2 linked regions of the Arabidopsis thaliana genome follow. The protein of the gene in region 1 interacts with the protein of each later gene in a pairwise test. Each region holds a gene or a part of one and is shown on either strand. Other genes may lie near its edges.

Evidence for each region.
Region 2: the proteins of AT1G24650 (region 1) and AMT1;3 interact in a protein complementation assay, tested with the Arabidopsis thaliana proteins (one large-scale study listed by BioGRID).

The regions. Positions count from the first base shown.
Region 1 is NC_003070.9:8,730,844-8,739,169, reverse strand, and holds AT1G24650 (Leucine-rich repeat protein kinase family protein), read right to left. Parts: upstream 4,601-8,326; coding exon 2,428-4,600; intron 2,343-2,427; coding exon 1,855-2,342; downstream 1-1,854. UniProt on the Arabidopsis thaliana protein: Involved in auxin signal transduction and cell expansion and proliferation regulation.
Region 2 is NC_003074.8:8,803,279-8,809,953, forward strand, and holds AMT1;3 (ammonium transporter 1;3), read right to left. Parts: upstream 4,183-6,675; 5' UTR 4,077-4,182; coding exon 2,580-4,076; 3' UTR 2,241-2,579; downstream 1-2,240.

The DNA.
Region 1 (8,326 bases):
ATACAAGATAACTAGAGAGCTGAAACTAGGTAGAGAGCATTATACCTCCCATATCAGAAGCCATTAAAATCTAATCTTTGTACTTGATAGTTACCACTGAGGTTCCAGTAACAAAACGGGTACCTACCAAAATCAACTAAAAATATGAAAACCTAAACCTAATTATTTTCCGAGATTCAAGAACACTAAAAGAGAGATTTTACAATGTTCTTTGGGATTCAGCCTCATCATTCTTCGCTCCATTCCCGTTCTCAACCGGAATAATGAGCACGATTAGAGAAAGTCATAACAGATCCATGAGCAATTGGAAATTTGATCTGACTTACAGTCATCTTTTCAGAAACTCGAATGTCTTAACGATCTCATCTTCTTCTTCTTCTTCTTCTTTATAAACTCATTATGTTAAAATCTAGTCCGCTAAAGGTCATTTATAGTTAAACTTAATGTACATGCATTTGCCTAAGGGCTGCTGTTATTTTGTTATGTTCAAATCAGTTCTTCCAAATTGTCTCGTCCGGAATTAAATTAATATACTTGCAAAAAAATTTGTTATATCTTAAATTTTGGTTTTTGTTAGTTTTTTTTGGATCACTAATAATTTGTAATGTTGAATTCATTTGGCTTTTTTTATTAGTCAACAATACTTTTAGACATTATCTATTATTAACTAACATGTTTGTGTTTCAATTTAACTAATTCATTAAGGCCATAGGAAAATCGTCAAATACTAACCACACAAAATAACTATAGATACTGTACTTTGGTGTCATTAAATTCAAATTGGACTTTCATGTTACCCAAAAAATGAATCGTTTTATAATTTTTATGTTTGTTATTGCGACGTATTTTGGATTGCTTGTATCAGTTCTGTCTTGTAAACGTAACACAATTGAAATTATGAACGAGCTTGGTCCCGGTTTGGTTCTCCAGTATCATTGTCATTCAAGAGACGACAATCTAGACGTAGCAAATTTATAATTTAAGGAAATAAAACAAATCCGTTTCGGAGACAAGCTAGGAAGAAGAACAAGATGGACTTGTCTTTTGAAACACGGCTTATACATGCGATATTATAAAGAATTCATAGCATATAGAGCAGGCAACATTGACCGATGTGGTGCTCTGCGTCGTTGGGTTGTTAGAAATGATGGAATTTACCTTGTGAGGGATCGAAATCCTCAACCAAAGTTCCATCATGCATGGAATAAAACTAAGTAATGTTGATGACAATACAATTTTTTTGTTTTTGACCCAAAATGTGCCTAAATTTGTATTAGCCCCGTATAATCTCCATTAATTGATGGATTACATGAAAGCTAAATGAGATAATTTGTTGTGTTTTTTCCATTCTTCTGTATTAAAAAATAAGACAAGGCCTGAATGTTTCCATGTAGAGACAACTCGTAGGAGACAACTAAAAAAAAAGTTTGATGCCTGATCATTTATGTACGTAGCATATGATGTAAAGCACAATAAAAATGTACAAATTGTGATGTACAATGTCTTAAACCATAAAAGAAATCAGTTGAAATTCGGGAAAACTATAAAATAAAAAATTATATATGTCAAACCATTTGACTCAAATGATACATCAATCAAAATAAATTCTTGAGACAATGCCAATGCCCAACCTAAACTTCTAAATATCTAGAAAGTGTCCAGCTAGTCTACGACAAAAGACCAAAACACGTGTCCAATTTAAGCATATGGGTTCCATTCGTGCGAAAAGGACACCCTAACTTGAAAAGGAAGGTAACCAACAAGATATATTCACTATCCGCAAACCTAAAACAAGAACTCATCCAACAGCAAAACCTTTCTCATTCCATGTTCCAGCTAATTCTCTAACACATTTTACCTCCCTTGTCCTGATTTGAATGTGCTTTCAAGCTCGGAAGGTCGCGAAGGTATGCTCGTCAGAGTATTATCTCCAAAAAAACACGAATCAAGAATAAGTTGAGGAAGAGGAGTGTCGTAATCAATTCCATAGATATCTTCCGAGTCACTGCTTCGTTCTGTGGGTTTCCATTGTACAACAAGTGAGACCAACACGTTGACAACGTGATTCATGTCGGGTCTATCTCGCGGTTCCCTGGAGCTACATTGATTGGCAAGCTCAGCTACTATGTTGATGCTTCTGAGTGTCTCTTCGTTGACCTCCATTGCTTCGTCTATCGCCTTTGGGAATGAGCCTTTGTTGATAAACATTCTCCTAAACCATGTGGCAAGATGTACTTCTTCCTCAGATCGTGCAACATCAAGAGCTTTTCGACCCGTTAGTAGCTCCATGAGGATGACTCCAAAGCTGTAAACATCAACCTTTGTTGTAACTCTTCCGGTCACTGCAATGTACATAGAGATTTCAATATTTTACATTTAGTGAGTTTAGAACGAGTAGCAACATACAAAATAAGCATAAAACCATACCTGCATACTCTGGTGCAAGATAACCAAATGTTCCAGCAATCTTGGTCTCAATTGATTGTGTACCTTCTGGTGCAAGCCGGACTAAACCAAAATCAGCAACTTTAGCATGCATGTCATCTCCAAGAAGAATATTAGAAGGTTTAAGATCTCTGTGTATGAAACTTTGATGTGCTAAAGTATGCAAATACTCAACTCCTCTAGCCACATCCAATGCAATAATCAACCGTCTAGTCCACTCGAGAGGCCTCAACCCTTCTTCCTTCCAATAGAAAATATGCCTACTTAATGTCCCTTGTGGCATGTACTGATAAACAAGAAGTCTCTCATTGCCTTCTAAGCAATAACCATGAAGAACCACTAGATTTCGGTGGCGAACTCTAGTAAGAACAGCAATCTCTGATTTAAACTCATCTAAACCCTTTCCACTTATAATCGAAGATTCCATTCTCTTAACCGCAATCTTTGTTCCATCATGCAACTCTCCCTTGTAAACTATTCCAAATCCTCCTCTCCCAAGTATATTCTTCTCATCGAAATTATATGTAGCATCCCTCAAAACTTGTATTGAGATCACAATATTTCCAGCTTCTCCTAGATGAGCGTCATTACCACTGAATCCACTTTCACTAACACCAGTACACAGATTCTCAATTGTAATCTTGAACGCATCTTGGTCACTAGATTGTTGTTGAGGATGCATCTTATGATATTGCATCTTTTTCTTGACCAAAAAGAAAATAGCAACCCCTATAAGAAGCAAAGCTAACAAAATACCAATAACAGAACCAACAATTTTCCCAGCATTACTAGATGCTTTCTTTCCAGCATTGCCATTAGGACAGTCCTCAAAATTCCCAGTCGTGTTAACAATAGTTGTGTTAAAACGAGGTACTTCACCACACAACCGATTCTTCGAAACATCCAGTGTTTTCAAGTTACTCAACTTAGCGAGCTCTTGTGGAATAGTACCATTAAGATTATTCTGAGAGAGATTAATAACACGAAGAGACGCAAAATCAGCAAATCGTGGAGATATAGTGCCGTTGAGCCCCAAGTTTTTGAAGTTGATAACTGTGATATCAGTTCCAGTACAAGTGATCCCTACCCATCCACTACAAGGATCATTTCCTTTCCATTTCTCCGCAAAATTCACCGGGTAACCAAAGGCTTCAACGATTGAAAGCAACGTGTTGACACGGGGATCACAAGAAGTACCTGGAGTATCTAAGCAGAAACTATTGAGACCATTCAGATCAGGCTTAATGTCAGGAGCCGTGAAGTTTGGAGTTGGTCCTTGAAGCAAGTTATTACCTAAAGCAACATCAGAAAGAGATTGCAGCTCAAACAAAGAAGAGGGAACGAGACCCGAAAGCTGATTCTCCCTAACATTGAAACTTTTCAACGAGACTAAACCAGAAAAGTCTGGTAAAGGACCGGAGAAGCTGTTCCCTTGCAGCGTAACATTGGTCAAAGAAGTCATCTTTTGCAGAAACGAAATTGACCCATGAAGCTTCTCCCTTCCCTTTTGCCCGTTAAGCATCAGAACTTGAACACGTGAGTCGGAGAAATTCATGGGAAATTCACATACAAGCGAGTTATAAGACAGTTTCAGAGTCGTCAAACTAGAGAAATCTTTCCCCTCGAAGAGATAATCCGGGATCTTCCCGGAAAGATTGCAGTTGACAGCAGAGAAATCTACAAGGGAAGTCGCGTTTTCCAAACTCGGAGGTATCACCCAAGAATCAAAAGGATTGTTATCCAGAGAAACATGCTGAAGAGAACTCAAACCAGAGAAGAAATCCTCAGGGACAGAAGTGAAATCATTGTCATTAGCATACACAGTTACCAACGATTTCAACCCAGCAAGACTCGGTATTGGTCCTGTTAAACGGTTCCTCATGACCTCGAACTTCGTCAAAGATGTTAGCTTTCCGAGATCAGGAGGTAGCTTTCCTGAGATTCCTCTGTCCCCGATTTGGATCGCGGTGACCCGATTGCTTGCGTCGCATTTTATGAACATAGACCACTTACAAGGATCCGACCCGGACCAGTTTGGATTTCCAGATAGCTTCAAGGAGTCTCTCAGAGCTATCATGACCGCCTCATCAGGGCTCGATTCAACGTTCACCAAGGCAATGAAACAGAGCAAAAGGAGGAAGTTTTTTGCGATCATTATCTTTTTTTTTCAACTGAGAAACAAACGCAGGGAGGCGTTGATTCACAGACAGTGATAGATTAGGGCTTAAAGACTTCAAAGGAAGAAACTTTTTGGGCGGAGATTTTCTTCTTCTTCTTGAATTGAATGAGAAAGGAAAAAACGAAACGGCAGATTTTATTGCTTTTTTTGGAAATATTAAATTGACTTGAGCGAGGGAAGTGCTTTTATTGTTATTTCCCATTTCTTGGTTTTGTTAATAAATGATTTGTTTCCTTTTCATCTGACCAAGGAAAGAATGTTAAAGGACGCAATCTTTCTGTATTTACAGGCCCAGATATATAAAAATCATAGATTTTAAGGCCCAGTATTATTTTCTTTTTTCTTTTGTGTAACTAGGCCCAGTATCTTATTTTAGTTTCTTTATTTGCTGAAATAGCATTTTAACAAAATGCATTTGCACTGTTCGTAAATCTACATTTCTTTATTATATTTTCTTTTTTGTATTTTTTTTTACTGAGATTTGTTTCTTTTTAAAAATAATGAAAATTCCAAAACTCTCATTTATTTATTTTGGAACGGTTTTATAGTTTTAGGCTTTTAGCATTATAAAATTGAATACAACTGAAATATATATGATTATAATAAACTAAAAAGAAACTTACTTTTATTGATAGTAAATTATAATTGTCAAATATCATATATTTTTTCTCATTGGAAGTTCTATAATCATTTGGACCAGTCCTACCATTTAACGGTGGTGTTTTTGATAAACTGAGGAAAATTACTGTTAGGAAAAACTTTAAAAGTAAGGGTTATCATGATCAAGTTCGTAGCAAATGACAAATTCGATATTCAATAACACAGAGCTATTCTAGCAACCAAACTGAGGTCTTACATCTATGCATATTATTGAGTCAAATAATTAGATGATTATCCTCTTTGTTTGCTCCTTTTTTTATTACTTTATTTTTAGGTCAAGTTTGAAGTTGGGTACTCACAAAAATACCTTTTTTTTTTGTCATCTGGATTATATTAGAAAATTAAAAGTTTCAGAATATGAAACCACCGATTACAAGGCTAAACTAAACCAAAGTGAAGCGAACAAGTTAGCCTACCACAAGACCCAACTCCAACATATTCAAAAGTGGTCTAAACAAAAAAGAATAAGCTCTGAACCATCGAGCACCACATAAGCCAAACCCTCCATATACAAACCATTGATCTCAAACACTGAGCATCAACACCAAAACGACTTCTCACTATCAAACAGAATACAAACCTCTTTCTTCAACAAACACACCATTCATCCAATAAGGATGCCCCACAGCCACATAGGATTGAGACCGAGACGCCTCCGTAACACTTTGGGCGATGAGGTTTGCTCCTCTGTTTGCAGCAGAAAATTCCAATTCCACCTTCCACACCAAAAAAGGTAACTATGATCTATTTAAAGCCACACTCTGAGCTTTAAAAGAAGGCCACGCCCTTGGTCTCAACACTGCACCAATCAGAGACTTATCTTGAAAGGCAAAGATAATATTATCAATTTTATGACTGGCCATACTCTCCATAGCCCATAGGAGACATCTGAGCAAAGCATCAGCCTTGCTAGAGATAGGAGCAAAAGAACGTCTACTGTGTAACAACACTATACCATCCTGATCTCTTAAAACCCAAGCCCCTCCAGCAAAATTGTTTCTTTTTTACCAAGAAGCCCCAATGTTACATTTAACCCAATTCGCTGGAGGTTTAATCCATAAATTCTCCGATACACTGCCTACAAAATGAACACCATTACTCAGGGGAGGATTAAGGGCAGAACCCTCACCATCTAAGCATTGAGCTTCAAACCATTCCACCACATCATCCCTAATCTTTATCACTGTATCAGTAGCTGGGTAGCTTATCCCCTCAAAGATGAAAGAGTTCCTATTTTTCCAAATCCTCCACAAAATCCATGGAAAAATTTTCCTGAGGTTAATAGGCCATTCTTTATTATCTTTGTTCTCCAAGAGATGATTGATGTTGGAATAAATAGAGCCGTTACTAAAACCATCAGGAGGAAAAGGATAATCAGAAAGAGCCCAAATTTGTCTAGAGAGTGGGCATAGAAACAAGGTATGATTCGTCGATTCCCCAAGCTCACCACAGACCTGACATGTGGTATCAACGACATTCCTCTACCATTCAAGTTCTCGGCAACCGGAAGAATACCACTAAGCACCTTCCAAAGAAAAATCTTAATCTTTGGATCAGTCTGAAGGTTCCACACCTGAGTTTTCAACCCTAGAGTAGAAGGCTGCATAGAGACTTCGCTTCTCAGATTTTGGCTCTTTGTTTGATAAGCTAACCAATAGGCAGACTTGACAGAAAAATCTCCACTTTTATTTAACTTCCAAACGAAAAAATCTGCTTGAGATATCACTGGTTTAATAGCTTTAATTCTGAGAATGTCTTCTGGCAGGAATAAGTCATGAAGAACCTCTTCATCCCAAAACCCCGTTCTTGGGTTTAACAAGGCTTTAACTTTTAAAGTCACATCATATATCAGGTTTTTTCTCCAAGGGGCCCTAAAACCATTATCATCTATCCAGGGATCTATCCATACAAACAAAGAGGCACCATCACCTACCCTTTTTTGAAGACCTTTAGACAAAAGCTCTCTGCCAAAAAGAATGCTTCTCCAACCAAAGGAAGGTCTCTGACTCAAAGCGGCATCCAGAAAATCAGTAGCATCAAAATATCTACTTTTCAACAACCTAGAAAGGAGGCAATCCGGGAAATGAAGCAGCCTCCACGCTTGCTTCGCTAGAAGAGCCTGGTTGAAAGACTGGATATCACGAAACCCCAAACCACCACTATCTTTTGGTAAACACAGCCTTTCCCAACTTTGCCAATGAATCTTCCTTGAATGATCACAAGAATCCCACCAAAAAGATGCCATTGCACTCTCCAAATTTTCACAAGTAGTAATGGGAAGCTTGAAACACGACATAGCGAAAACCGGCATCGCTAAAGCAACAGATTTAAGTAATACCTCTTTACCCCCCTGTGAAAGGCATCTGGTGAACCAAACATCCAGTTTCTCTTTTAATCTATCCTTCAAGTAATGCAACATATCAACCTTTGACCCACTAAAGCATTCTGGAAGCCCCAGATAGGTCCCAGCCCCACCCTCAGTGAAAATTCCCAAACAAGTCCGGATAGTACCTTTCAATTGCTCATCTACCTTTTCACCAAAAGTAATTGAAGACTTGTTCAAATTAATAGTCTGACCTGTCGCATTACCATACACCTTCAAAATCTTTTGTAAGACCAGACTTTGCTCTCTTGAAGCTTTGCATAAGAAAAGACTGTCATCAGCAAAGAGCAAGTGATGCACCATAGGGCCATTCTCAGAAAACTGAATTCCTTCCAGAGCTCCTTCCCATTGAGCCTTATTGAGCAAATGAGTGAGACCCTCAGTGCAAAGAACAAAGAGAAATGGAGATAATGGGTCACCCTGTCTCAAACCTCTTTGAAGGATAATCAACCCAAAGGGACAGTCATTAATCAAAACAGAGTAAGTGACAGATGAAACACAAACCATGATCCAGTTAACCCATTTCAGATGAAAACCCAAAGACAGCAAAAGGGATCTCAAATAGCTCCACTCCACACGGTCATATGCTTTAGACATATCCGATTTTACAGCCATAAACTCTGAAGAGATACGCGGGTGAACCTTCAAACTGTGAACCA
Region 2 (6,675 bases), on another chromosome or scaffold:
AAGATATTAAAAATAAAAAATATGATCTATTCAATTGTAGCATATGTAAGCAAAACATATTTGACCAAGGAATCTAAGAAGATTCCCGTAGAGAGTTGGTCGCCGTTTTCGACTCACACTGTCACACCACCTCACACGAAAGGGAAGCTCATTCGTGCTTTTACTTTCGGGGAAAAAACGTTTACATGTACCTGAGTATCTTCTAATTTCTATTTTAATAGAATTATATAAACAAAATTAGTACTTCTAGGGTTTCTAGCAAATCAATTTGTGGCACCTTGCTAGTTGTAGATCAGCAACTCTTTTTTTGGGAATCAGGTCAAAATTCAGCATTCTTAATACGAAAATCTTAAATATAATGAACTTGTAAAGTATTAATATAATTGCTGACGAAACTGCAAATGATAACATGGTTTAGCGGGAACCACGTTTTATTAGTTGAAAATTTCACTTGCGATCTTAAAATTCAACAAATCAATGGCGTTTAATGTGATTCTATATATTAGCAACCACAATGGTCGAATAAGAATGAGTATAGTTTATAGATAAAATTGTAGCAATAAGTAATGTTCCAACTATGCCTATATGTAAACTTAATCATTATAAGACATACTTGTAAATTCACTAGTGAATATATACGTACGAAGGAGAATAAATAAGTTTACTAGATTACAAATTAGCTGATGGAAAACGAAGAAGTATACGATTTAGAATACATTAATATTGGGATTTGACACTCAGGAAAATAGACAAAACCAAACTTTTTTTTTAATCTAATGTCGTCGACGAACGATAAATATTTTAATTGCAACGGGAGCTTTTAAAATCATACAGAGTAACCTGACATCATTGATTACCACATAACACAAATTAATTATTTGATAATACGTTTAATTTACTGATTAATTATAGTGCATATTATATTTTAGTTTAGGTCAACTGACAATTAACTATAAGAACTAAAAATTTACTAAATACGAAAAGCCACATTGGGACGTTTTCTGTTTTATGAAATTATGCAACGGCGCATTGCGGCGTCTCTAGCTATCCTCTATGCATATCAGACTATAAAATATTTGTTCGTGAAATTACTTTTTATGTTCTATAATAGTGATTGAGTGTTTAATAACCAAGAACATCATAAAAAAAACTCTATAGATAATCATAATAATTGCATTAACATATTTGGCTATTTGCCAAAACAATTTAACTCAATACTGGTTGATTTGCAATGCTAGAGGATCTTAAAGAACCATCTTAGATTCTAAGTAGTAAACAAATATATAAATCAAGTGGTAGTGGTTTAGCGATTCCCATTCTAGGAAGCGTTGCCTTGTCGGTCTAGAACAAGAAAAGATTCATTACAAAACATTGAATTATCTACATCAATTGTTATTTACCTAGTCGAAATAGTGTTATATTTTTTTTCTTTATTATTAGAAAATTTGGTGAATACACTAGTACTTGACGACTATAATCACTCTAAGAAATTAGTTGGGTGGTAAAATGTCGGATTACCGATAGATAATTAAAATAAAATAAAACTCTAAGTCTAAACTATACGGGCAAGAATATTTAACTGGTTCGTAATTATTTTAATATTTTTTCTTACTACGACCCGTTAAAGGTAATCAAAATTCTTGTACAATGTTCTGTCTTTGTTTGGGTGACATATGAAATATACGTTTGAGAATATTTAAATACAGTTTGACGACTAATATGCACAAAAAGATGATGTGCAAGGTATAAGCTACTGGAATTGCATCGTAATTCCATGATTCTACAGGTCTCGAAAGTGTATACAAACAAGGAATATATGTTATAAAAATTTTTGTTTAGCAGAATTTGAAATAAATAAAAAATACTATTGAAATATTAGGTGCTAAAATTTATCAACCACAAAATATGGGTCATACTCCTTTGTTTAAAGTTATCGAGGACGCAAGAATTTGATTTATATTTTAATTTTAGTTTGTACGATTAATAGCAACAATTGTTAGGCTAATAAAACCCATTAGGCTTAGTTCAATAGTTCTAAACAAGTGACCAGTTACATAGATGTAATGACATGTCATATTTCTTCTAGTATTATTTATTAACCAACATCGTTCAAGTAAAAGATAATATCTACGTGTACCTAAGCGTGGCTAGTTAACTAATTGGAAAAAATCGCTTTACGTGTACATAAGGGAATGACTAAGTTCTGCTTTTGGTACGAAATGGTACACAAATGATTTTTCAGAATTTATATTATTCTAAGAACAACTTTTGTGTACTCCAATTTCCTAATGCCGTCGGCAGAACAAAAACCTAAGCAAAGTTGTATACAGTATATGCATAACTCTCCTTTTTGGATCACCAAAAGTTGTATATATAAATTTCTAAGAAATAGCATAAACATTAGCCGAGGCATGTAAAATTAAAATTCAAGAAAAAAAAAAAAAACATAAACTAAAACACTTATAAACACAAAAAGACGATAGGTCACTTAAAACAAACCAAAACATCCAAATATTTATATTTCAAAACCAAAACCCAAACAATACTTAAACGGTAATAAATTACCAAAAAGTTGAAAATTAAACGCGAGGAGGAGTAGCTGATCGAGGGAAAGGAGATCCAGGATCCACTCTATGAGACTCATCATCATTATCATGGTAGATATAAGCAAAGCCACCGTGACGTGTCATATCCATCCCTTGCATTTCATGCTGCTCCGAGATCCTAAGCAGATTGAGCCTTTTGAGGATGAAGAAGAGTGTTCCCATTGTGGCACTAACCCATCCTACAATCACAAGTATTTGAACCAATTGTGCTCCCAACAGCTTCCCTCCTCCGCCCATAAATAGTCCATATGGCCTTCCCGGGGTGGCGCCATAAACCTCGTTTAGATACTTCTCTTTGGCAAACAATCCTACGAATATCAACCCCCACGCGCCACACCCTCCATGTAGTTGGGCTGCCTCGAGTGGATCATCATATTGTACAAGCTCCGCGAGCTTGTTGCATCCGATAAGGACGACAGAAGCCATGAAGCCGCACACAATCGCTGCCCATGGCTCTACGACGGAGCAACCTGCGGTTATGGCCGCAAACCCACCGAGTAACCCGTTGCAAACGTCCGTTACGTTCCAGTGGCCTGATAGGAGACGTTTACCAAAGAGTGTGGTTAGAGCTGCTGTGCATCCTGAGAGTGTGGTGTTAACCGCTGTACGGCCGATTCCGCTCCATTGGCCGTAGTTGGAACCAGAATTATACGGAACGAGTATCTTAGTGAAGGAACCGGGGTTGAAACCATACCATCCAAACCATAGGAGGAAGGTTCCTAAGACTACTAGCGAGGCAGAGTGGCCGCGCAGAGCAATAGCGCGACCACCTTTCTCGAACCGACCACGACGAGGACCTTCAATAAGAGCACCCCATAAACCTGCTATGCCACCAACCATGTGAACAACACCGGAGCCAGCAAAGTCAATGGCTCCGGTGCTAAACAAACGATCATCCGCTGAACGAAAGGGACTGGCCCATCCATCCGGGGACCAAAACCAGTGAGAGACAACCGGGTAAACAAATCCGGTTAAGAAAGAAGAGTATATCAAGTAAGCCACGAACTGAGTCCTCTCTGCGATCGAACCACTTGTGATTCCAGCGGCCGCGATTGCGAACGCCCATTGGTAGAGGAAGAAAGAGTAATCAGCTGTGGGAGTCGGAAAGTCTCTAAGAGCAAAGTTGTGTCTTCCAATGAACCCTTCGGAGGATCCTCCAAAGGCAAAGGCGTAACCAAAGAGATAGTAGAAGAGTCCTCCGGCTGCAGCGTCAAGGACATTGGTAAGCATGATGTTCATCGTATTCTTGGCTCTAACAGAACCAGCACAAAGCATAGCGAAGCCGAGCTGCATGGCGAAGACAAGGTAGGCAGAGAAGAGGAGGTAGGTGTTGTCTATGGCGAAGGCTGCATCGGTGAACTTGTTGTTAACGGTGCCTAATTGGCCGCAAATGTAGTCGGCCGCCGCCGTGGCGTTGGGGCCAAGTAGGGTGGCGAGATCGGCCGCAGAGCATGTTATTGCTCCTGACATGTTTGAGAGAGCTGAGAGAGAGAAAGAGAGATACGGAGAAGAAAGGTTGTCTCTTGTGTGTCTCTTAAAAGGAAGAAGGAGGAGTTTAGGGTTGACTTTAGATTCCGGCTAGACCAATTAAGTTCGTATTTAAGAGAGTTTATCAATTATTTAAGAAGTTATGTGACGTAACAACATTATTGAATTAGAGATGTAATCTGCCAAATCTTCTTAATAACTTGCAAATTACGATCCTAATCCTATACGGTTTTTGGTGATTAAGTGATTGCCATGTAATGTGTGAATAAAAAAAAGGTAAATTAAAGGCTTGTATAAAAAAATTACAAAAATAAATTTGTGAATAAAATTGATACTAGTATTTAAAGTAATAAATCAAAGAATAATTGTCCTAGCTCAACCGTATATGTTCAAGCAAACCGATCAGAACTTACTACATAGATGTCGATTTTAGATCAGCAGTTTTATGAAATTAAGTCAAGATTCAGCACTCTTTATACGACAATCTTATGATAATCTTGCAAAATTTTAATAAAGTTCATAACCAAATATTAATTAAGTTTGCTGAAGGTTGAAACCAAAAATGATAACATGGGTTAGCGGGAACCACGTTTTATTTGCTGAAAATTGCACTTTACACCCTTAACTCTTAGATATGTCCAAAATTACTCAGATCATCAACAGAAGCATTAAAAAAAATTATCTTGGTTTTGTATAATAATACTACATGCATGTATAAAGTATTCAATTAGGAAAACAAAAAAATGAAGACACACGACATATAGTTTCAAGCAAGAGATATATACAATAATTCGATCCAATTGACATTGAAACCTATTAACAGTTCATGAATAATTCACGTTTATACCAAAACAAAAACATTCATGTTTAAGATATATATATATATATATATATATATATATTTTAAGATATTTAATGATTGAAAAAAGACATTTATCTCTCAGTTTGTGCCAAGCCATGAAAATTCAAGTCAAGTATTACTTTTAGGAACATGATGATCTCTTTTGATCAAAAATCTATTATGATGTATTTGAATAAATATACTTAAAAGTTGTTACAAGTGCTGATGTTTCACCAATAGGCTTTTTATTGTCACTAACTAGTTCTAAAAACTGAAAGCTTTCTATATATGTATGTGTGTGTGTGTCTGACCTTAATCATGTTTTAAGTCAACCTAACTTAATCATTATGGGAGACACTTGTGACTTGTTATCTATATATTTACTGATGAGTTGTAAATGAGAGTTGACACTCAGAAAAATAGACAAAGCAAACTGTTTTCTAAAATAATGAACGTTAAATTATGCACATATTTTAGTAGACGGTAGCTTTCTAAATCGTACAAAATAATGTCAAGAATTGACGTGACATCATTGATTACCACATAACAAATATTGATTCTTTAGTAATACGTAGTAACTATTGATTAATTGTAGTACATATTTTTTAATTTAGGTCAACTGAAAATTATAAATGTAAAATTGTTTACTAAATACGAAAAGCCATAGTAAGTGATTTACATTATATTGGTTTATGAAATAAAACTAAAGCAGGCTTGTTATACTGTGTAACTAGGTAAGCACCACGGCTCGACGCAATAGCACGTTAGGGAGTCTATAGCTCGCCTCTATGCATATCAAAATTCACAATTTTTGTTCGTGAAATTCTTTTTTTATCCTCTGATGTTAGAAACCAAAGGCATCATAAGAAAAATTGCGATAATCAAGACTTTTGCATTAACTTTTGTGCCAAAAAACAATTACGCCAAGAGTGGTAGACTTTGCATTGCTTCATGATGACTTTAAAGAACCCTGCTGGATTCTAAGTAGTACCATTCAAATCTATTGTTTCCAGCTAGTTCTATATATTTTAAAGAATGAGTTATTGACTCTATTAGTCTCTAATTATTATACTTCTTAGATTTTTTTTTTTTTTTTGGTTCAAAGTTCAACGAGTAGACATTCACAGCAAGATTATTTTAAATGCCGAAAGTATTTCTATTAATATTCTTGCAACTACCACTTTAAATGTAATCCAAATTATTGTACAGTATAATTGAAAGTTTCGCATTTGTTGTCTTTGTTTAGCTGACATATGAAAGATACATTTAACAAGAAAAAAATGCGTGATGCAAATACAGTTTGACTAATATGCAGAAAATATGATGTGCAAGGAAAAGCTATTGGACCTGATCGCATTTAATATCGTGATAACATGATACTACAGTTATCCAAACTGAATCTAACGAATGAATAAAAGGATTTGTATTGGGTTTAGGAACATAGAATGTTATTGAATTCTTCATCTAGGCAAAATTAAGTTCTATAAATTAATCGCCTACCAAATATGGGCCACTCATTTTTTGTTTAGGAAGTCTTTGCAAAGATTTTAAGGCAACGAATGGTTAGGCAAATAAAGCCCATTTAGGCTCGACCCGTAAACGTTTACAAGTGGCCACTTAGATTTACTGACATCACCTTATCTAAGGTTATTATTATTCATCAGCCTAAGTATTTTGGTTGGTAAAGTCTAAAAGGAAATATCCACGTATACCTAAACGCAGCTAGCTAACTAGTTGAGA